4 linked regions of the Drosophila melanogaster genome follow. The protein of the gene in region 3 interacts with the protein of the main gene of each other region in a pairwise test. Each region holds a gene or a part of one and is shown on either strand. Other genes may lie near its edges. The genes, in order: CG43691, Lmpt, Rlip and CG12985.

Evidence for each region.
Region 1: the proteins of Rlip (region 3) and CG43691 interact in a two-hybrid assay, tested with the Drosophila melanogaster proteins (one large-scale study listed by BioGRID).
Region 2: the proteins of Rlip (region 3) and Lmpt interact in a two-hybrid assay, tested with the Drosophila melanogaster proteins (one large-scale study listed by BioGRID).
Region 4: the proteins of Rlip (region 3) and CG12985 interact in a two-hybrid assay, tested with the Drosophila melanogaster proteins (one large-scale study listed by BioGRID).

What each region holds. Positions count from the first base shown.
Region 1 is NT_033778.4:13,388,963-13,395,024, reverse strand, and holds CG43691 (uncharacterized protein), read left to right. Parts: upstream 1-1,663; 5' UTR 1,664-1,806; coding exon 1,807-4,500; intron 4,501-4,575; coding exon 4,576-5,172; 3' UTR 5,173-5,530; downstream 5,531-6,062. Other genes in the region: CG4744 (uncharacterized protein), read left to right, coding at 1-282.
Region 2 is NT_037436.4:16,897,792-16,902,446, forward strand, and holds the start of Lmpt (limpet), read left to right. Parts: upstream 1-1,623; 5' UTR 1,624-2,261; coding exon 2,262-4,277; intron 4,278-4,337; coding exon 4,338-4,400; intron 4,401-4,586; coding exon 4,587-4,655.
Region 3 is NT_033777.3:21,015,856-21,021,253, forward strand, and holds Rlip (Ral interacting protein), read left to right. Parts: upstream 1-1,828; 5' UTR 1,829-1,922; coding exon 1,923-2,019; intron 2,020-2,086; coding exon 2,087-2,219; intron 2,220-2,274; coding exon 2,275-3,159; intron 3,160-3,589; coding exon 3,590-4,352; 3' UTR 4,353-4,898; downstream 4,899-5,398. Other genes in the region: CG5697 (uncharacterized protein), read left to right, coding at 430-572, 646-904. UniProt on the Drosophila melanogaster protein: Participates in receptor endocytosis during interphase, is also involved in mitotic processes when endocytosis is switched off.
Region 4 is NC_004354.4:17,882,121-17,885,766, forward strand, and holds CG12985 (uncharacterized protein), read left to right. Parts: upstream 1-1,597; 5' UTR 1,598-1,687; coding exon 1,688-2,355; intron 2,356-2,519; coding exon 2,520-2,964; 3' UTR 2,965-3,118; downstream 3,119-3,646.

The sequences.
Region 1 (6,062 bases), on a different chromosome or scaffold from region 3:
CGACAGTACGAGGATCTACCGATGGAGGATCAACAGGCGGCGGTTGGAGTGCGTGATGAATTGCTCCTGGATCTGGTTTATCTCCAGAAGATGGCCGAATCCGCAGAGCGCAATCAACGTAACGCCCGTTTGCAGGAGGTGCTCAAACAGACCAGCCTGGACGAGGTCCTGGAAAAGAGTCTAACCACCGAGTACTCACCGCGTTTTATAAAACTGCTAAAGACGGCGGAGCTTTATAAGGAGGCGGGCGAGCAGCAGGCCAAGGCATTTGTGGGTCTTTAGACCGCTTTAATCAACGTTTTAGATTTTTGTTTCAATTCATTAGTTGTTTTTTTCAATTAAAAATTCCCTTTGTTTGAGTTAAGTCATATATTTTTAACACATTTGAAATAAGCAACAAAATTCGTTTGAATTTATGTCAATAAATATTTTGAATAACACTTAGTTATTGTAAAATATTTTTAAGAATATAGTTTTATCCAAAGTAGTGCGAGAGTCCCAGATTGGCACCCAGATCGGTCTGGCCCTTGAAGGGTCCACTTGTCCACTTGGATGCCGTGCTGCCCAGATCTAGCCTTGTGTTGCGATCCTGCGACTGCCAAAGATTGGCACGCCCACCCAGCTCCAATTGCTTACCCAATCCGGGAATATTGGCGTGCGTCAGGGTAGCTCCATGACCTTTGATGTGGGAGTAGTCCAGTGCAGCTTCATTTCTATCGAACTTGAAGCCATTGGCAAGCTGATTCTGCGAGGCAAATGCCTTGGCATCCAGATTGTGAACACCGTTGTTGAACAAATTGGCGGTGGCCGTTTGCTGGAAGCTATCCCGCACACCGGGCGTATGGGTTTTGGTCAGTTCCAGGCCGTGTCCATGACTGCTCATGAAAAATAAGATTAGTTTCGCTATTGCTCAGATCGTAATCCTTTAAGAGACTCACTTGTTGTAGCCCAGGGTGGCGCCGCTGGTTACGGGAGTGGATACCGGTTTGGTCTGCGTGTTGCCCGCTGCGAACACTTGTCCAATAACATGGTGATCGGGAGTTCCAACGGCCTTGCTTAGGTCCAATCGGGCATCGGCACCGCCACTCGGATTGGATGTGAGTGATCCACCCAACACCTGGCGACGTGCCCTGTAGATTCTGGGTGGCGTCGGTGGTGGAGATCAGTGGCTGGGTATACGGACGTTGGGGCAAGGCCACCGCAAGGGAGCCAAGTACGCCAACGATGACCACAATTAGGAGAACAATTTTGCTCATCTTGCTGTATTAATCTCTTGATTTTCGATCTACTTGACTAAGCGGCTGACTGTTGACTGACGATGCTGGGATCTGGTCACCGTGAATTATATAGCAATCTATCTCTGAGTGGGGCTTCCCATCGAAACCGACAATGAATACCAATTTATAGATGGAAGATTTGTGATGCCTTATCTGTAAGCTGAGCAATGTTTCGCACTGGGATCCCCGAATGACCAGGTGGTTCACACCGTCTGATAAGAGATTGTGCATCCCCTTGAAACTACTTGCCGGTGATTTGCAAACTCTTTAAGGGTTTATTTTGAAGACAATTTTAATTAAATATATTTATGAATTTATATATAATAAAACAAGAATTTTAAAATAAAATCAATTTGAATTCAATTTATAATAACATATTTGCCAATGAGTAAGTTCAAATTTTAATAGAGTTAGCTTTTAAATTTTTTATGACATTTCATGACATTTAAGACTGTTTAAAAATCTAGTTAATTGGTATTCTTTGTATACACAATTCAGAGGATAAGGGATCAAATTCGATTAGTACGCGATGCAAGTGCCCCTGCTCCACCGGAGCACCCAGATGGTGCTGCTGAAGAAGCAGATCCGGCGGAAGGCGAAGGAGTTGCGTCTGCGAAAGCGTCACGCCCACCGCCGCCTTCAGGTGATGAGAAGGATCCGTGACCATCTGCTCGACAGGATGAGGAACTCCATAGATCACCGGCAGCGGGATGCGGAGCAGAAGAAGAGGGAGCAGACACGGAGGGCGGTGGGCGGTATGCTTTCCATGTACAAGCATTGGCTGCGCAGCTGGTCAAAAGCTTTAAGGTTACAAAGTCAGCTAATTCGGCACCAGGAGCATGTAAAAGTGGGAATGCGTCGCAAACTTCGACACTTGAGGAGGCAGTTGAAGAAAGTCCGCAATCCAAAGAACTTGGTCGACAAGTGCTTCCATCGACTGTTCAAGGCAGTTAGGAAGTGGCAAAAGAAACCGGATTACTACGAACACGTCAAGGATCAGGACAAGATCTGGGAGGCAGAGGCACTGGAGGTTCGAAACTATTTATCGGAGGTTCGGGGAAGGCGACCACGAAAGCTAAGCCGTGGCAGGGTTAAAAAGGATTTCGAAATCGAGGACTTTGCTAAATTTTGGAAAACTGAAGTGTTGCAAACAAACGCTATGATCAATAAACAAAGGGCCATGAGAGGAAGAAACGTGCCAGTAGATACAGCACATGATAAAACTAGGAAATCAAAGAAGAAATTGTGGAAAAGAAAAAAATTATATATCAGCTTAGATGAACTTGTTATTCGGAAAAAATTGAAAAGAATTCGGAAGGACATTCGAAAGCCAAAGAAACATGATCCATTAAAACCATCTTTAGAGGAACTGAAAATGTTGATAAGGGAACTAATCAGCTTCAACTGGAAAAAGATAGTTATTAAAAACCCGAAAATTAACAGAAAAGCCATAAGAAACCCCAAATTTGATTTTGACAAAATCTCCGATATTACAACTTTAAACCCAAAAGTACGAATAAAAAGAATTGTGAAAAGCGGACGAGCTCCCAGAAATGTTCCAGATCCGAAAATCATTAAATTCAAGGTAACAAGACCTAAACTTCGAAAGCGTAAAATGCACTATGTGGATAGGGTAATTAAAGACGAATTAAATGCACTTTTAGAGACAAAGGCAAAGAAAAGGGGCAATCGTCATGGAAAAACTAAAGAAGCTGAAACTTTTCAACAGGAAAAGGAAAAAAGAGACTTGGAAAAGCAAGAAAATGTACTCGAAAGATTATATAATGATATACCCCTATATATGAGGCGTGATATTGAGAGAAGAAATAGGAAAAAACTACGTGACAAACTTCAAGCTTCTAGTTCGAGTAGTTCGATTGCGTCCAAAGAGGTTTTCATCGGATCCGAAAAAGTGGCCACTAAGTCGGATAAGCACAAAAAGCTTTCCAGTACGAGCAGCGTTTACGTAATCAAAGACCGACCCGAATTATCTGCCGAGAGGAGTGGTTCTCATGTGTTATTCAAAAGGGATAGCGTTGCGTCCCTCACTGAATCACTGAATAAATTAGTTATGGGCAATCGAAACCGAAAATTTACCCGTAAATCTATTCGCATGCCACCCATCATACCCAAGAAGATCCGCGTTGCTCCTCCAAGAGGTCAAGAGGAAAGTCACTATCAGTCTTTGAAGAAGGATATCATGTACCTTCCTACAAACAGCGAGCATATGGGTGTATCTAGGATTACAGCCAGCGAATCAGCTCTGCACAGAGGGAACCAATCGAACAGGCATCTTCCACGAAGGGCTTCCGATACCCAAGTTGGTATTTATCCGACTAAATCCCAAAGCCAAGTTTTTGGTCATCTATCTTCGAAATCGACATCCAAAAATAAATTTAAATATGATGCGCTGCCAGATGATCTTGAAAAACTCCTTGCACCGGTGCGAGATCGCCACGACAAAACAGAAAATGCCCCAAAGCCCTACGTCAAAGAGTTCGAATTCGAACGGTTTCATTTGAAAGATCTACGCTCAGATGCCAAATTCAAACACTTGCAGTTCCTCCTTAAGGACGTCATACAAAGAAACGAAGTTATCGAGTATATTGCCGATGTTAATGGACTTATGCAGGAAGTAGCTAACCATGAAATGTGGTCCCATCTTCAGAGTCTCTACAACGAACTCACAGATGCAGGAGTTACGTTAACGCAAATTAAGGAAAGTCTGGCCAAAAAGTACTTGGAGTATCTTAACGAAATAGTGACCGAGAAGAACTATGCACGAATGGAACCGCCGCGGGACAATATGCTTAACGTTTTGGAAACCGAATCTATGAAAGCCAAACAGAAGAAAGAGGTGGAAAAGTTTATGGAGCGAAACTGGTGGTCTAGGAAGCGGGTCAGCACACGGCTCATTCCCTTCGGCATGCGGGGAATAAGGACGAGCAAAATTGACCCATCTCACAGCTCACGCCAGTCGCAGGAAATCAAGATGAACGGCGGAATGTACAATAAACTCCTCGAGCAGGAGCTCAATGCAGAACGATTGGAGCGCGAGGAGCGTAAGAGAAGACGCTTTAGCAGCACCTTTGGATCAACTATAAGCTTCAACAACAGCTTGGATCTGGCGGCCAACGAGGAGCAGGATGTGCGGGACATCGAGTGGCGCTACTCGCTACACAACATTAGGAGCATGATGAACCAGCACCAGCTGATGTTTCAGGTGGGTTAACTATACTCAACCGCCAAAAAGTTATAAAATAACATCTTCGAAATACATTTTTATTCTTTCTTTCAGGCTTTGGATCGCAAATCGCGAGTGGAGCAGTTGGTCCACAAGAAGATGAAGGGAAAAGTCGAAGAATTGTATACCTCTGCACAATTTAGGCGTCCTAAATTCCGTTCCACCACTTTTACGGCAAGGAAGAGGAGCAAAGATCTTAGGCCCATCGAGGAACTTTACTACTCACCCCGAAAAACTTGTCGCCTGCAGAAGATCTCCTGTTCCGCAGAGTGTTTGGCATGCGAAGGCCAAGTTGAGAAAATTGGTGATTCGATGATCCTGGACAAGTGTCCTCGGTGTGGAGTAAAGGTGCCTGTGCCCGCGCCCACTACCCCGTTCTCCATGTCGTCCTCGTCCAGCTGCGAGATCTTGTCCAGCGGATCCATAGAAGCCTGTGCCAAGAACAAGCTGCTAATCAACACGCTCGAGGACCTTTGCACACGCTGTGGCTATGTCCATAAAAAGGGGCATCTTTGCTCACAGTTACCCATGAATGAGCGGAAGACCAAGCTTCTAAAGCGGATTAAGGGCACCGTACCTACTGCTCCCGAGTGCCCGGCATTTTGCTGCCCACGCGGGATCCTTAAGAATACCAGAAGTTTTGATCCTTAGCAGGGGCGACAAGGAGTGCTGAGTACTTTTGAAGCCACCAAAGTGGTAACTAAACTCCGGATATGCACGGATATGAGCACCACCAAATCAGCCGGCTGAGGCGAATGAAACATTTGGTTTAAGTGCTAAATAAATTCAAGTAATGAGTTTGCCTCTGTCTGTGGGTGTGCCTGTGTTGTTAAATGCTTTGCCAAGTTTCATAAAATATGCAAGGACTTTTGCACACACACACACACACACATTGCACACCAACAAACAGGGCCAAGCTCATGCGATGCACTCACGTAGAGAGAAAATGTCTGCGGGCTTTTAATACACTTGCAGGATGCTCCTTCTCCTGGTCGTGTTCCTTATCCCCTTGCTGCTCCACCCACTGCTCCCCCCGATGCTCCTGCCACGACTTCTCGCTCATGCAACGAAATTTCATCTTGCCTCCTTTTTTTTTCGGCCAAGTTTTTAAGTCGAGCCATTGCTGTAATGGAATTTTATTGCATACTCGCACTCGCATTCTGTTTGCGCAAGCGAAACATGTTTCAGACATTTTCATAAATGAAAACGCTTAACTACACAGCCGCCGATTGGCCGAAGATCAGGCAGGCTCTCAAGGAATTTTCCGAGTAACAGATCCTATATTTCAAAATTGTTGCAATTAAAATGGAACTGTGCTTACAATGTTATTGGTTCTTCAGTAAGGATATTCTCATTTAATTTAGGACATTTTATGTATTTTTATACCAGATCAGTGGATATTACTTACTGATTTATAAAGCTTGTAAGACTGCATTTGGAAATCCTAATATTTGTTAATCTAGTTCTTGCTCTTACAAATCTGCTTATTTTTCTTTTTTCATTTTATATATAACTTGTGACCGAATAAATTCCTTCGAGTA
Region 2 (4,655 bases), on a different chromosome or scaffold from region 3:
GCCCGCCGCACGCAGTTCACGTTTATTGCATAGGTGCGGCAATCGCCCTTTCCAAAGGTTATGGCATTTTCATTGAACTTCACTTGGCTGCCTGTGGGAGTCGGGGATCCCGGGGATATCTATCCTCCAGCTCCGCAAATGCAGCGACTCGCGAGTGGCGATGGCAACAAAGAAATGAAGGCAGTTCATTGGCAGCACTGGCTGTTGACGCGTTGTCATCCGTCGAGCGGAAGTTCATTGCGAGTGAGCCGGAAATTTGTGGCATTCGGTTAAGGTTAGAGATTGCTAAAAATTGCTGCAGGTATTCGCAATTTGTTATTGATGTGCACAAACTGCTTTAGCTCGATTGAAAATATCCTTTATCCATTTATTTTGATTTTAAATAGATTGGGGGTGTAATATGCAAGTAAATAAATTTTTTTTATATGCGTGTTGATCGATTTTTAATTAGAAAATGTTGGATAAAGAAATTGCATTGTCTGTCGCCTTTCGGTGTTATTGTACAAAAAACCATGTTTAAATTTATTCAAAATAAATTTAAATTACCATCAGAAACACTTTCGCTTTCGTTGCGAAAAGCAAAATAAACATATGAATATATCAGAGCCCAGATGACCCATTTATTCATATAAATCTATCTATTTTTGCCACAATTTCTAATGACAATCAGATGATGAGAATAAACAAAAGAATACAAAAATAGTTTGGCTTTGTGGGGCAAAGAACACAATTATGCCGCGTTTGACAATAATTATACTGATTCTGAAAACGCAGAAGAGAACCACAGCGAAATCGGCGATAAAGAGCCTCTGAAAGCTGCTGGCAATGTTAGTGTCAGTGCCAAGACGAAATTTATGGCAAACATTTGTGTGCAATCCGCTCGGAGGCGGCGAAATGGGGCGTGGCGACCCTGGCCCCAGGCGCTGGCAATGCCAAAGAAAACTGATTTGCAAACACCAGGAACAGTAAAAGTCATGCCCATAAGAATTACGAATGCTAAAATATATTTTTCCCACTTTCGAGAATACCAAATTTTATTGGCAAAATAAACAAAAGAATTGGGCATTTTATAAACAAAATTGTATCTCAACATTGTACTCTTAAATGTTATTTTTTCTAAAATCGGAGATACGATGTGACCATTAATGCCAAATTAAGCATTTTTATGGAAATTGGCACCTTAGCTCTGTATATTATTGCAGCCAACTGTGCGTCTGAATAATATGTGTGGTATGCAGTATAGAAAGATCATGTTTTTCAGAAAATACTTGATTTTTTATTATTTTAAAATATCAAAAGAAACATTTTCTGATTAATTTTGATAAATTGAATTTTTAAACCTGAATAAAAGGATAGGAAAGAAAAGATCCCTAAATCTTGATACTTGCTTGAGATTAAAAAACTCTTCATTATGTTATCGAAATGACAGTTGCATTTGATTTTCCCTATCCGATTTATGGTCATGTCGCTAACTGTTCTCCCGCACGAAAACGGCGAGCAAAGCAGAAAGTGGCGAAAAGTGTTTTGTGGAAAACAGCAATCGAAGCATAGACCAAAAATAGTTCCCCCCAAACGAAAAGGGGGCGCGGCCGGCGGGGTGTCGACTAAACTGATTAGAAAATCGGCTTTGGCCAATTCCGATTGCTTTGGCATTTGACACGGAGGCAAGGCAGTGCAACAACGGCAGCGGACAGAAGCAGATACATTTGTGTTGCCAAATTGCCAGCGACAAAAGTCGGCGATGTCTTGTCAGCTCTACAGGCCTTTTGCTCTCATCGCTGGCCGTCAATTAGCGCCGTTTGCCATTTGAACGGATTCGGTTCTTGGCGGTTCTCTCGCCGCTGATTCACTTGTTCTCTAGAAATCGGGGGACCCATGGGCATTGGCTGGGGCATTAATCAGTTGCAAGACGATCGATTAGCGGAAAACAAGAGCTCGCCGCCCGAGCAACTGCATCCGCCTGGCGAGTCCGCCCATCTCCGATTCTTCTTGCTTCGCGCTCTCATAAATCGTCTCAAAACGTAGATAAATGAATATATATCGATGATTGGTTCAATGATTTGTGAGCGAAAGTGAAATAAATATTTTTCGAATTACCTAATCGGCTGGCCATTAACGTGAGTGGTGTGAATTTTCGAGTGCGTGGTGAATATATTTTATATAATACGTGTTAGCCGATTCGGTTCTCGTCGACACATACTCTCATTGCATCGGCGAACGTTGGAGGATTCGGATTCCGTTTCGATTCTGGTCATTACGCAATGGCCGCTGAGGAGACGGCGCTAACCGGCGTCGGCGAGCTACTATTCTCGCTGCTAATTGGATACCTAGGTGCCCTGGAATTCGCCTTTGTGGCGCGCCATCTATACCACTGGACTTTCCAACATCCCGGCGATTCTTCTGTAGATGCAGCAGCTGACGCAGAAGAATTGCCTCGCATGCGAGAGCGATTGGATAAGCAGATCAAGGAGGCGGCGGAAAGGGAAGCCCTGGCAGGAACCAATGTCATGCAGGATGGTGTCCTATATGTCAATGGAATACGAGTAGATCCTGCTGGAGATAAAAGACAAGCTTTGGCAGCCGAACTGGCACGTCAACAGCAAATTGAAGCCGATACGAGGCGTCAGCTGGCCGAAGCCGAGGCCAAGCTGGTAGAAGAAAGACTACGAGTCCAGAGGGAGAAAGAGGAATCGGAGGAGCAGCAGAGAAAGCTCGTAGAGGCGGAAAGACAGCGCGAAAGAGAGCAGGCGGAGAAAGAACTGCAGGAACAAAGAGAAGCCGAACGCAGACAGCTAGAAGCAGAAGAAAATCAGCGTAAACAGCGCGAAAACGAGGAGAAAGAACGCCTAGAAAACGAAAGAAGGCTGATAGATGCCGAACGGGAAAGGGAGGAGAATGAGCGAAGACTGCAAGAAGCTGAAGAGCAGCGCGAGCGAGAAGAAAGCGAAAGAAGAATCGTCGTGGCAGAGCGTCAGAGAGAGCAGGCCGAAGCCGAAAAGGAGCGAGCCGAACAACAAAGGATCCTGGCTGAAGCCGAGGCAGCGCAAGCCGAGCGTCGTCTCTTTGATGCCGAGATTCAGCGAGAGCGCGATCAAGCTGACGAAGAAGGGCAAGCACTGAGGGATGCGGAGATCGTAGAGCGTCTTCTGGCAGCAGAAAGAGAGCTCAGTCCAAGCGCTACAGAGAGCGAACTGGAGGAGGATGCTGCCATCGCAGAGCAGTCGCGTCGCCTGATCTCCAGCAGAACTGATCTGGAGCAAAAACAGCGAATGATTGAGGAAAACGCCAGACGCTTTCTTGAGGCAGAAGAGGAGATGGTAATGTTACAACAGCGCCAACTTCAAGCCTCACACAGCAAAGAGGAGGCAGACGAGTATGCTGGCATGGAACCCGTGGTGGAGGAGCTGTGTGTGAAGAAAGTGGCTCCACCCAGGTTTCAGGAGCCTCCAGAAGAACCCATGGTGCATAAAGTGAAAACTCAATTTGGTCAAGGAAGTGGTCCTGAAGACGCCTACTCAGCAAAGTCAAAAACACTCACCTTCCCTGGCGTATCGGATGAAGGATCCTCTCTTGAACCCAAAACTCCGTTCTCCATCCAGCAGTCGTCCTTCAGCACGCAGCCCTCTGATGAGGGCAACAGAATCGAAAGTGAACGCCCAGAACCTGAAGGAGAAGATCAGATACAGGAAGTCCAGTACACCGAGGACTACCTTCGTTCTCTAGATGGCATTAAGAATCGTCCTTTGATGCGAGAGGATGGTTCAGGGAGAAGAAGGGCTTTTAAGAAGCGACGATCCAGTGGAAGCTCGAACTCCTCGCGGGAATCGCGAGCCTCCCGCGACGAAGAACTAAAGATGTTCACCTCGCTAGAGGAGGAGGAGTTGCGCCACGGCGACCGAGAGGACTATAACCCCATCAAGTATACGAGCGAACCTACCCTGAGGGTTAAATCCCACCGACGTCACAAAAGGAGTCCAGCAAAGGATGTTAGACCAACGGCAGAGTCGACCACATCCTTAGAGATGCTCGGTGAGGAGAGCACAAATCCCTGGGGTGAGGTTGTGCCGGAGCATTATAAGGATACCGAGTTTTGGAAGCGGGAAAAAGCGCTCTCCATAGACGAGGAGGAAATCGAACTAGAAAGACCATCCAGGGGAGAGGATGTGGAGGAAGAAGCTACAAATGAGCCAAAATCGTCCTCCTTTGAAGAGGCCACTGAGGCACAAAACGAACAGGCAGTGGCTGCCCTAAAACAACAACTTTCCAAGGAGCAGTTGGTGAGTAAATGAATCTACAAGCCGAGGATCTATATCAATGATTTATTATGTGTGTGTTAGGACAAAGAAGCGGAGAAGGACAACCCGCAAGCAGTGGATACCAGCGACAGCAACAAATCCAATGTAAGTGCGTAGCACAGACACCTGGCATCATTTCTCACCCAATAATTTCGACCACAACCTAATCCACCAATCGCAGACACCACTGCCGCATAACTAACTGTCCTAACTGCTTTACCTCTTTGCTTTTCATATTGCTACTGCTCCCACATTCCGCTTGCTTTTCCGCTTCACCTTTCCCCCAAAAAGCTGCAAACCTCTATCGCAGCAGAGGAGCAATCAAGGGGTGGTTCACCTGGCTTGCGACGCAGTCCACGT
Region 3 (5,398 bases):
AGCACAAAGACAAACAGCAATGGCAATAAAGCAATGGGACAGAGAGACAACCCAGCTGCAAGCTAATTAAAGTTGCGACAGAACGAAGCCAGTCGCCAGTAGTCCGCCAGTTGCGAATGGAGCAATTTCCAGCCGGGAGTGTTTGCAATCCTGGTACTATCCCGTGAGAAGGGCTGAAAAAGGACTGTAAAATACCCAGTTCCCATCTATAGTTATCTGTCGTGCCTGCAAGGGGCTACGGCAACTTTGGTGGTATTGACAAAAAAAAAACGAAAGATACATGTCACAGTTATCATATATAAATTATCAGTCATTTGAATAAATCATTATTCATTATTATTATTATTTTCACTTCTTGTTACAGATAAAGTTACATAAACTGCGTATACCCTCTTGTTCGGCACACATCCAGGGTACCACACGGCAAATATGTCCTGCAACGAGAAGACAGCGCTTCTGGCAACGCAACAAGGACATCAGCAGCGGCAGCAGCGGCAGCAGCAGCACATCATTGTCGTGCCCGCGACGGGGAAGGATCCAAAGGATTATGAGCCCATTTTCACAACTGCTGAGTAAACGCTTTCCGTCGTATTTCATTAAAAAATAACTTCGTTACACAGTGCCGCCTGCCCGCTTCTTTCGTAGCTATTCCTACGGACTGACGCTCGAGGAGCTCCTGCCCTTCGCTCTGGATCCCTGGTGGCAGGCCGTACGGCGCCTCAGCTGCGGGCTCCTGGGCCTGACTTTCCTGCTGACCCTGATTGCTGGACTGGTTATGGCCTATTCCGACAGTGTCTGTCTCCCAAATAGAGCAATTAGCAGAAACGCGACCACCACGACAACGATGGCCACGCCACTATCCTTGGCTCTCAACGGCTCCCAGCTGCTGATGGCCAGTTTATAGTGGCCGTAAGCTAATCTGTGTAGCATTTTGGAGATGCCGCAATCCACCCTGCGGAATTGCATCAGCCGCATCAGCTCGCACTATTAGCATTTGTTTGGCTTGCCGGTAATGGAGGCGACCTAATCCTCCTCCTCTCTACTGTTTACCCCTACTCAAGCTGAGTGATAAGCGATGCACCGCGGGATTGATTGGTCGTGAAATAATTATACTGATTAACTTATTTGCTACACAACCGCCTACTCGTAAAGTAAAAAGAATGCAAAAGGTATAAGGAAGCGTTTCCGTACCAATTAAGAACATTGTATCGCAAACTTATTAATTTTTATATATATACATATATATATATGAATATTACTTAAACTAATAAACGAATAGTTTTTTTTCATCGCTGTATTCTGGTTTCGGTTTCTGGGAGTTTAGAAGTTAACAAACCGCCTTATAGTTTTACAGCCCCACCCTGAAAAAATGGTTTGATTTAGTTTTATTTTATAAATAGTCTTGGCAATTTGTATACTTGTGAAAAAACATTTTCACCACGCCCACACTAGCGCGCACAATTAACAAAATCCTGTAGTTACAGAGGTGGTACTCTTGTCATTTTGGAAGTTTTATGTATTATGTAGTTTATGTATATATATAAAAAATATTTTCTTAGAATTTAAATTATTTAAAATATTATTATTATTATATTATATATTAACACATATTTATTTATTTATTTATTATATATATATATATATATATATATTAATATTATAAAAATTTAAGAGTTAGTAGCTGATCGCATTTCTGATAGTTGAGGAACTCGACTGTAGCGTTTTCTCTTGTTTCAATTTGCCTTTTTTTAAATATCTACACCGTTACTACATATTTTTTACATGACACAGTAGCGCCATCTGTGCACTTATCAGTGTTGGATAGCAGCGGCGACTTCGATTAAGCAATCGATTATTTGTTGCATATGTTGTTTACGGCAATTGTTTATATTTATTTACTGCTGGTGAAGTGATTATTCGTGATGGATTTTGACAGTCCCGAGGAGAAGGAGTTTCCCGGGCTGTACGCCTCCGAGGCGGCGGACGCTAAGTCGAGGAAGAGCAAGGAGGAGAGCGACTGTGAGTGGAGCGCAAAGATGTGGGCGTAAGCTGGGAAAAAATCAATGGGCTCACCTTGCCTTTACAGTTAGTGAGGATCACGACCATAGCAAGAAGGACTTGTTGATTGGCCGGCGCAAGGACAAGAAGGAAAAGGGCAAGGATCGAGGATACGCCGCTCTGGAGGGCGAGAGCTCGCCGGAGGAGGAGCTGGACACCAAGTGGGTGCAGGTCAGCTGACCCAGAGACAAGTAATATTTTTTCTTTTACTTCCAGAAGTCCATCCAAGTCGAAAAAGTCAAAGACCTTTAAGTTCACCAGCTCCAAGAGCAAGGAGAAGCGGGAAAAGTCGCGGGACAAGTCTGAAAAAGACTCGAAGCACGCAGAGGAGGAGCCTTCCGTCTCCCACAAGGTCAAGGAGAAAGAGCGGGATAAGGAGAAGGACCGTGATGAGCCCAAGAAGAAGGACAAGGAGGAGAAGCGCAAGGAAAAGGACAAGAAGGCTGACAAGAAGGACAAAAAGGATAAGAAGAGCAAGCAGCTGTCGCAGCAGCAGGACGACGTCTCCGCCGCGGAGGAAGTGCTGGCACTTGGGTATCCCGTCTTTGGGGTGTCCGTTAGCTTGGCGACCGAACGATCCCGCTGCCACGACGGCGTGGACATTCCCCTGGTTGTGCGCGACTGCATCGACTTCCTGCAGGATCACCTGAAGTGTGAGCAGATCTACAAGATTGAGCCCATCAAGACGCGTCTGATGCACTTCAAGCGGTTGTACAACAACCGGGAGCACGACTCCGCCGTTGATGAGCTCAACCTGCCTACCGCCTGCAGTCTGCTGAAGCTCTTCCTGCGCGAACTGCCGGAGCCACTGCTGACCACCGATCTGGTGGCCCGCTTTGAGGAGGTAGCCTCTCATCCGAAGGTAACCACGCAGCAGGCAGAGCTGCAGCAGCTGCTTGAACAATTGCCCAAGTGCAATCGCACCCTCTTGGCGTGGGTGCTGCTCCACTTCGACGCGGTGATCCAGCAGGAAAGACACAATAAGCTCAACGCTCAGTCGCTGGCTATGCTGCTCAGTCCGACGCTCCAGATGTCTCACCGACTAATGGTGGCCCTACTCTGCCACTGCAACAACTTGTTCGCGGACGTCCAGCTGATAAAGTGAGCAAACACCGGCTAGCCGGATAACAGTGGTGGGAAATATCCAAGTACCTTTGTGTTGGTAAAAGAGAAGTCCACATTTAACAACTATAGTTAAATCACAAGAACGAATCGAAGTCATAGCTCTGAAGTTAACTACTAAACTGTTAGTTTTAGTAAACTGTTAGTTTCCATATTTATCTAATGATATAAATTGTTTTTTTATATGTATAATAGGTACTTATAAGAACCCAGATAATTCCCACCACTGTTGGCAGTTGATAAGATTGCTGCTATAAAAATCGCCAGATTTAGTCGTTTATTTTGCAACCGACGATGAGCACATTACCCCGTAAACAGAAGCGCTTTCCACGTTTCGCCAGTTTTCTAATCAGGCAGAATGGCACACATTTAAACAAAGTTATCATAATACTAAATTGTCATCTCTTAGGTATGTGCCCCCTTTAACATCGACCAGCCCAAAGCTTCCGGATACGCCGGAGGACATCCAGACGGAGTTGCGCAAGCAGGACAGCCTCCTGTCCCAGATCCACAGCGAGATGAACGCCGGGTTCATTACCAAGAAACGCGAGGAACAGCTGTGGGAAGTGCAGCGCATCATTACCCAGCTGAAGCGGAAACTACGAACTTTTGAGAAGAAACAGGAAAAGACTGCGGAGGAAGTAGACAACAGCAGCAGTGCTCCGCCCGCTGTAGCCAGTGAAGATACCACTGACTCCAAACCAGCTGGAACTCCAGCCGTATCTACGAACAACAGTATTTCCCAGGAAGAGCCAAAAACCGATACACTAACTCCGAAAGATGCTCCTAACGATTTTACTATTGATCCCAGCACTGGCTTTATTTTGCTCCCCAAATCAAATCCGCACCGCGAAAATTTGCTGCGGCTCCAAATTGAATATGACGAGCTAATGGAATGGCAGAACGAACTAAAAGCACGTATCGTCGCCGAGCGCAACGAAGTCTATAGGCTCAAGCAGCTGTACGAGCAGCAGTCAATAAACAGTCAAATGGCCTCCTTGGCCTCGGGATCTCAGGCTCCCCCAGAATCCGACTATGAGCGGATAATCGAGCACTATACACGGGAGAATGCGCTGCTGGAGCACAAGAAGAATATGCTGGGCATGGAACTAAAGGAGGAACGACGGGCCTGTATTGCTCTACAAGTTGAGCTGCGGCTCCAGCAGTTTTAATGTATTAATTCGATTAATGTATTACTTGGATGGGTCAATTTGAGGGATATAACTAAGTTCCTATTCCGGAAACTTAATGGTCACATTTCCAAAGAAACATAAAAGGTCTACTAGGCAATCATAGGAGGTTTCTTAGATTCGTAGAAGACAATTCTATGTCACATATCTAAAATATTCAAATGAATAAACTTGTAAAGTTTTTGATAATTCATTTATCTGCAAACGTAGTCACTGTTCTAAACAGTGTCCTTTGTGAATTGCAATATATGAGAATTTTCAGTTCAGCTTTTAAGGAGATAAAATACTGCTAAAACATAAAACGGATTCCTCATGCCTAAAGTCAGTTTATTGTTTATTTGGAAATGAGCTAGTTTCAGACTTGACCCACCGAAATATATGTATGTATATAGGGTTACCAATTTTAAATCTCAATGTCTACTTGCGATCAAATGCTTTGTTCAAACTATAATTACTGTTAAACGGCGCAAAGCCCCAAAGAAATCTTGTTAGACAACTTTACTGCTTTCAACAATTAAATGAGAAAACAAACTCAAAATTCCCTTTTCTGTACTGAACTATTGCATCGAAATATGTCTCCTCGAAGAATTTTGTAAATGCCGGTAAAGTAGCTGCGTTTGTGTGTGCCGACAATCAAGATCCGATTTTCTAAATCGGTCTGATGACTTAATTCCAATCCGAGAAATACAGGGCACAGATTAGAAGATGTTTAGACGACGGATTGGCTGTTCGCTGGGGTGAAACGGAAATGACATCATCTCATATTACGTCTTGTCAACATTGTGATGGTCAAGGAACCGAGGTGGGCTTTGCGTGTTACGATTACTTTATTTAATATTTATTATTAATAATTTTAGAATACATTATCATTATGCATTACGTTCGGGGCGTGTTTTCTGTATTCCGCTGAAGTACAACTTAAAAATATCACACACAAATACCACGGGGGAAAGATGAGTCCTCCGGAATGCCAAACCGCGTCAACTCGCTCCCCTCCATGATTAAGTTATTTCCGCTGGACTACAGAT
Region 4 (3,646 bases), on a different chromosome or scaffold from region 3:
GCACAATATTATGATAAAATGTGGTAATAAAACATAAATGATGTTGGCAATGATTAAATTTACTTCTCTATAAATCAAAAAGAACATAAAATGAGCATTTGGTTTGTATTATAAAGTCTCTAAATCTATTCGAGCGAACGATACCATATTTTCATAGTTTGCGATACTCATAAGATCACATTGGAAAACAAGTGTATGATTTCCCTTGCACACTTGCTGTCAATTGAATTGAACGTTCTGCCATTTTGCAACTTTCTTATAGAGAACATGGCCGTATCATTCCCTATTTCCGCCACTGTACTGACTGTTTTGTATTTTGTATGGTAATTGAAAACTGCGCATTCATTGATGACGGATGACGTCGCAGCTTTGACAGTGGCATTGAAAATTTCAGTTTCGCAAGCAGACTGCAGTAAACTGGTGACCAGTCGGCAGCAACAACAACAATGATAATGAATGCAGGAAGAACAAGAACAAGAAGACTACAATAACGATACTATATACCATGTATGTACATATATATATATATATATATATATAACAAAGGAACTGAATGGCCGGCATGAATTTCACTTAATAATGTGTTGCCCGAAAAACGTTTTTTTCCTCTGCATCTATGGAATTTCATCTTTCAAATAACTCATCTTGAATCTTAAATCAATTATGCGGATAGCATGTTTTCCCTGACTTTTATGCGTAATTTCAACGAAGAATTTGAATTCTCTCACGGAATAAATGTTAGTATATTCAGTGTAAATGAAAAATACGCAAATATCTATTATAGCGCTATCTATGTATCTATGAATCTGTATCTACAGATCGTTGCAATTGTTGATATTACTTCCGCCAGGTGGCGTTTTCCCCACCGCCAGTTAACTGCATTCATGGTTTCTGTTTTCCGCACACTTATTTATTTGGCCGCACTGATTAGAGACTGGAATCACAATAATAATAACCAAAACAAATGGCAGCACGTGCTTAGCATCTGGTTTGTTGTGATAAAGTGCGACTTTTCCCAGCCCACCCACACCTATGCCGCTTTCTACCCTTTCTCCGCTCGCCACACGTGCTTGCTAGTCAGCTAACCAGCTAGCTAGTTAGTCAGCTAGCCGCTAGCTAGTTAGATACTTAGTTAGCCAGCCAGTTGGCTGCGTCAGCGTCGCAATTGCGCCGCAATTGGGCACTAATGAAGTATTCTTGATACGCATTTACACTGCATTGGGCAAAGGGAGAAAGAAGGTGCGAAAGGTGAGCAAGGTGCGAAAGCTGCCAACTGAGGTGCTGATTACCCATCGCTATGGCAGCCATTTATCCTGCAGGACAATGGGAAATGGGAAAGCTGGAAAAGCGCTGGTGGAAAAGTATGGGCAACCACTCAGCTCAATTAAAAAATCGTTAAAGGGCAAACAATTGCTTTTCCGTTTCACAAATACGTTCTAGCTCTTTTAGACGGTAAGTTAAGGGGTTCCCATCATCAATTAAACTGATACTATGCGAAAGTACTAGAAAGCCAGCCAACTGTAAAGAATCGCAAAATACCCTGAAATATGTATATATTCTATGGAATATCTAGTAGTTTTGAAAGCAGCAGCCTGAGTCGCTTTCCTCAAATTCCGGATTCAAAATGTATATATTTCCACCATATACCCTGCTCCTTATCATCCTCCGCATTGTGAGTGTCCGTGCGATGAGCTTCGACCAGCCCCACAACGAACACGACGCCTCCCTGGCTAGCTATTTGGACAACACCAACGATGACATATCTCCCCAGGGCTTCAACGGCGATGGGAATGGTAGTTCGGGGGCCACAGTGGTGCCATTCCCTTATCTGGGATGCACCACAAGACCGTCCTACCAATCTGGATGTGAAAGCATGGACGAAAGCGCTAGGGACCGAGAAAAAGATCGCAATATTGATCGGGATCGAGGCCGAGATTGGGATCGAAATAGGGGTTGCGATAGAAACAGGGATCGGGACAAAGACAGGAATAATATTAGAGATAGGGACAACTGTGACTCCTGTGACGAGATTATCAATTCGCGGCTGAAGGCCACCCACATTGCCCAGAATGCCGCCCAGGTGGCCAAGGCAGCCAATGATGCACAGGCGGCCGCCGCTCAAGATGCATCGCGGCAGGCGAAGATGCAGCTGGCGGAAAAGGCCATCTCCGCTGCCCGTGCCGCCGATGCGGTGCTCGAGGGCAAACAGGCAATGGTGGACAACTACGCTAGGGAGATCCGGGATGCCGAGGAGGTGGTCGGACAGGTGAGCTGCTCGCTGCAGAACAGTGAGACGAACGTGGAGGCCTCCTGTGCCGTGGTCAAAGCAGCGGAGGTTCAAGCCGAAACATTCAGGTATAATTGATAAATATTCAATATTCAATATTGTTCACAATCCATCCAACTATCTACACAATTTAAAAGCGGAACAATTATATCGTTATATCTATCATAATATCTACCAGCGATAACATATCGATTTTTAATATCAATGCTTTTTCGATTACTAATGTTTTCAGGGCCCTCGTACAGCAGACGAGTGGCATTTTGTCGGAAATGGACAGCCTAATCGACCAGTCGAACATGGATATCGAGGAGAAGAACCAAATGCTGGCGGCGGCGAAGGCACGTGGTGACCGCCTGGCCCGCCAGGTGGCGCAAGCTAAGTCGGAGTACGAGCAGGTGAAGGAGGCGGCCTGTCGCGCCGCATCCGCCGCCGTGGAGGCCAAGCAAAAGGTCGGCACCGGCAGTTTGCTGTACAAGTCGTCGGTTCACCGCCTACCCACTGTCGCCATAAGGGCCAATGGAGCGCGCGGTTACGCACTCGACAGGAACACCTGCAATGCTCTCCTGGATCTCTACAGGCAGCGCCGACGGCAGCAACAGCGAATGCGGCGGGAGAAAATCCTGAACGGACTGGATCGCTATCAAGGGAATTCACTGTACGGGGATCACTCGTACTAACAAATGCGCTCCCTACTAACGGATGCTACGTCCACAATTCTGTTTTTCTAAACGCTGCAAATTATTTTAACTCTATTTGGATAAGAGTTTCGAGATTTTTCAACAATTTCAGTTTCACTTTTTGAGCGTAAATATGAAGTATTACCTAAATGCGAGTTGTATAATCCTTGTTTTCTTGTTAATTTATTTCCTACTTTTAAGATCGTACTAAATAGCTTGCACATATCATTACAAATCATTAATGTATTGTCAGTTATGTACATATTAAAGATCTTCCCCGTATCGAGTGACCACCGTAGCTGCTTCAATACACAATTGTTTACCAACAAATTCGCCTGACAGTGTCGTAATTCTTGCGAAATAAACAATAACAATGGGAAATGAGTGCAAGGCCAAGACGCAACGAAACACGATCGCAAAGAGGAGAAGGAGAGTGGGAGGGGGAATAGAGAAGGAGATAGTGTGGAAAAGCCATCTTGTCCAGCGGAAGAACGAATGAAAATCACAGCTGCCAATGCGAGGCTGCCAGCTGTTTGGATTTTTCCTCCTTTTCCCTTATGTATTTGTTTTTTGGAAAAATTGTGGGCGGTTGGGTGTAAAAAGTGCAACGCAAGCAGGGTTGCCACCTTTTGCGGCTCTGTTGCGTCGTTGTTTTTATTGCTATTTTGGCGTCGCTTCATGG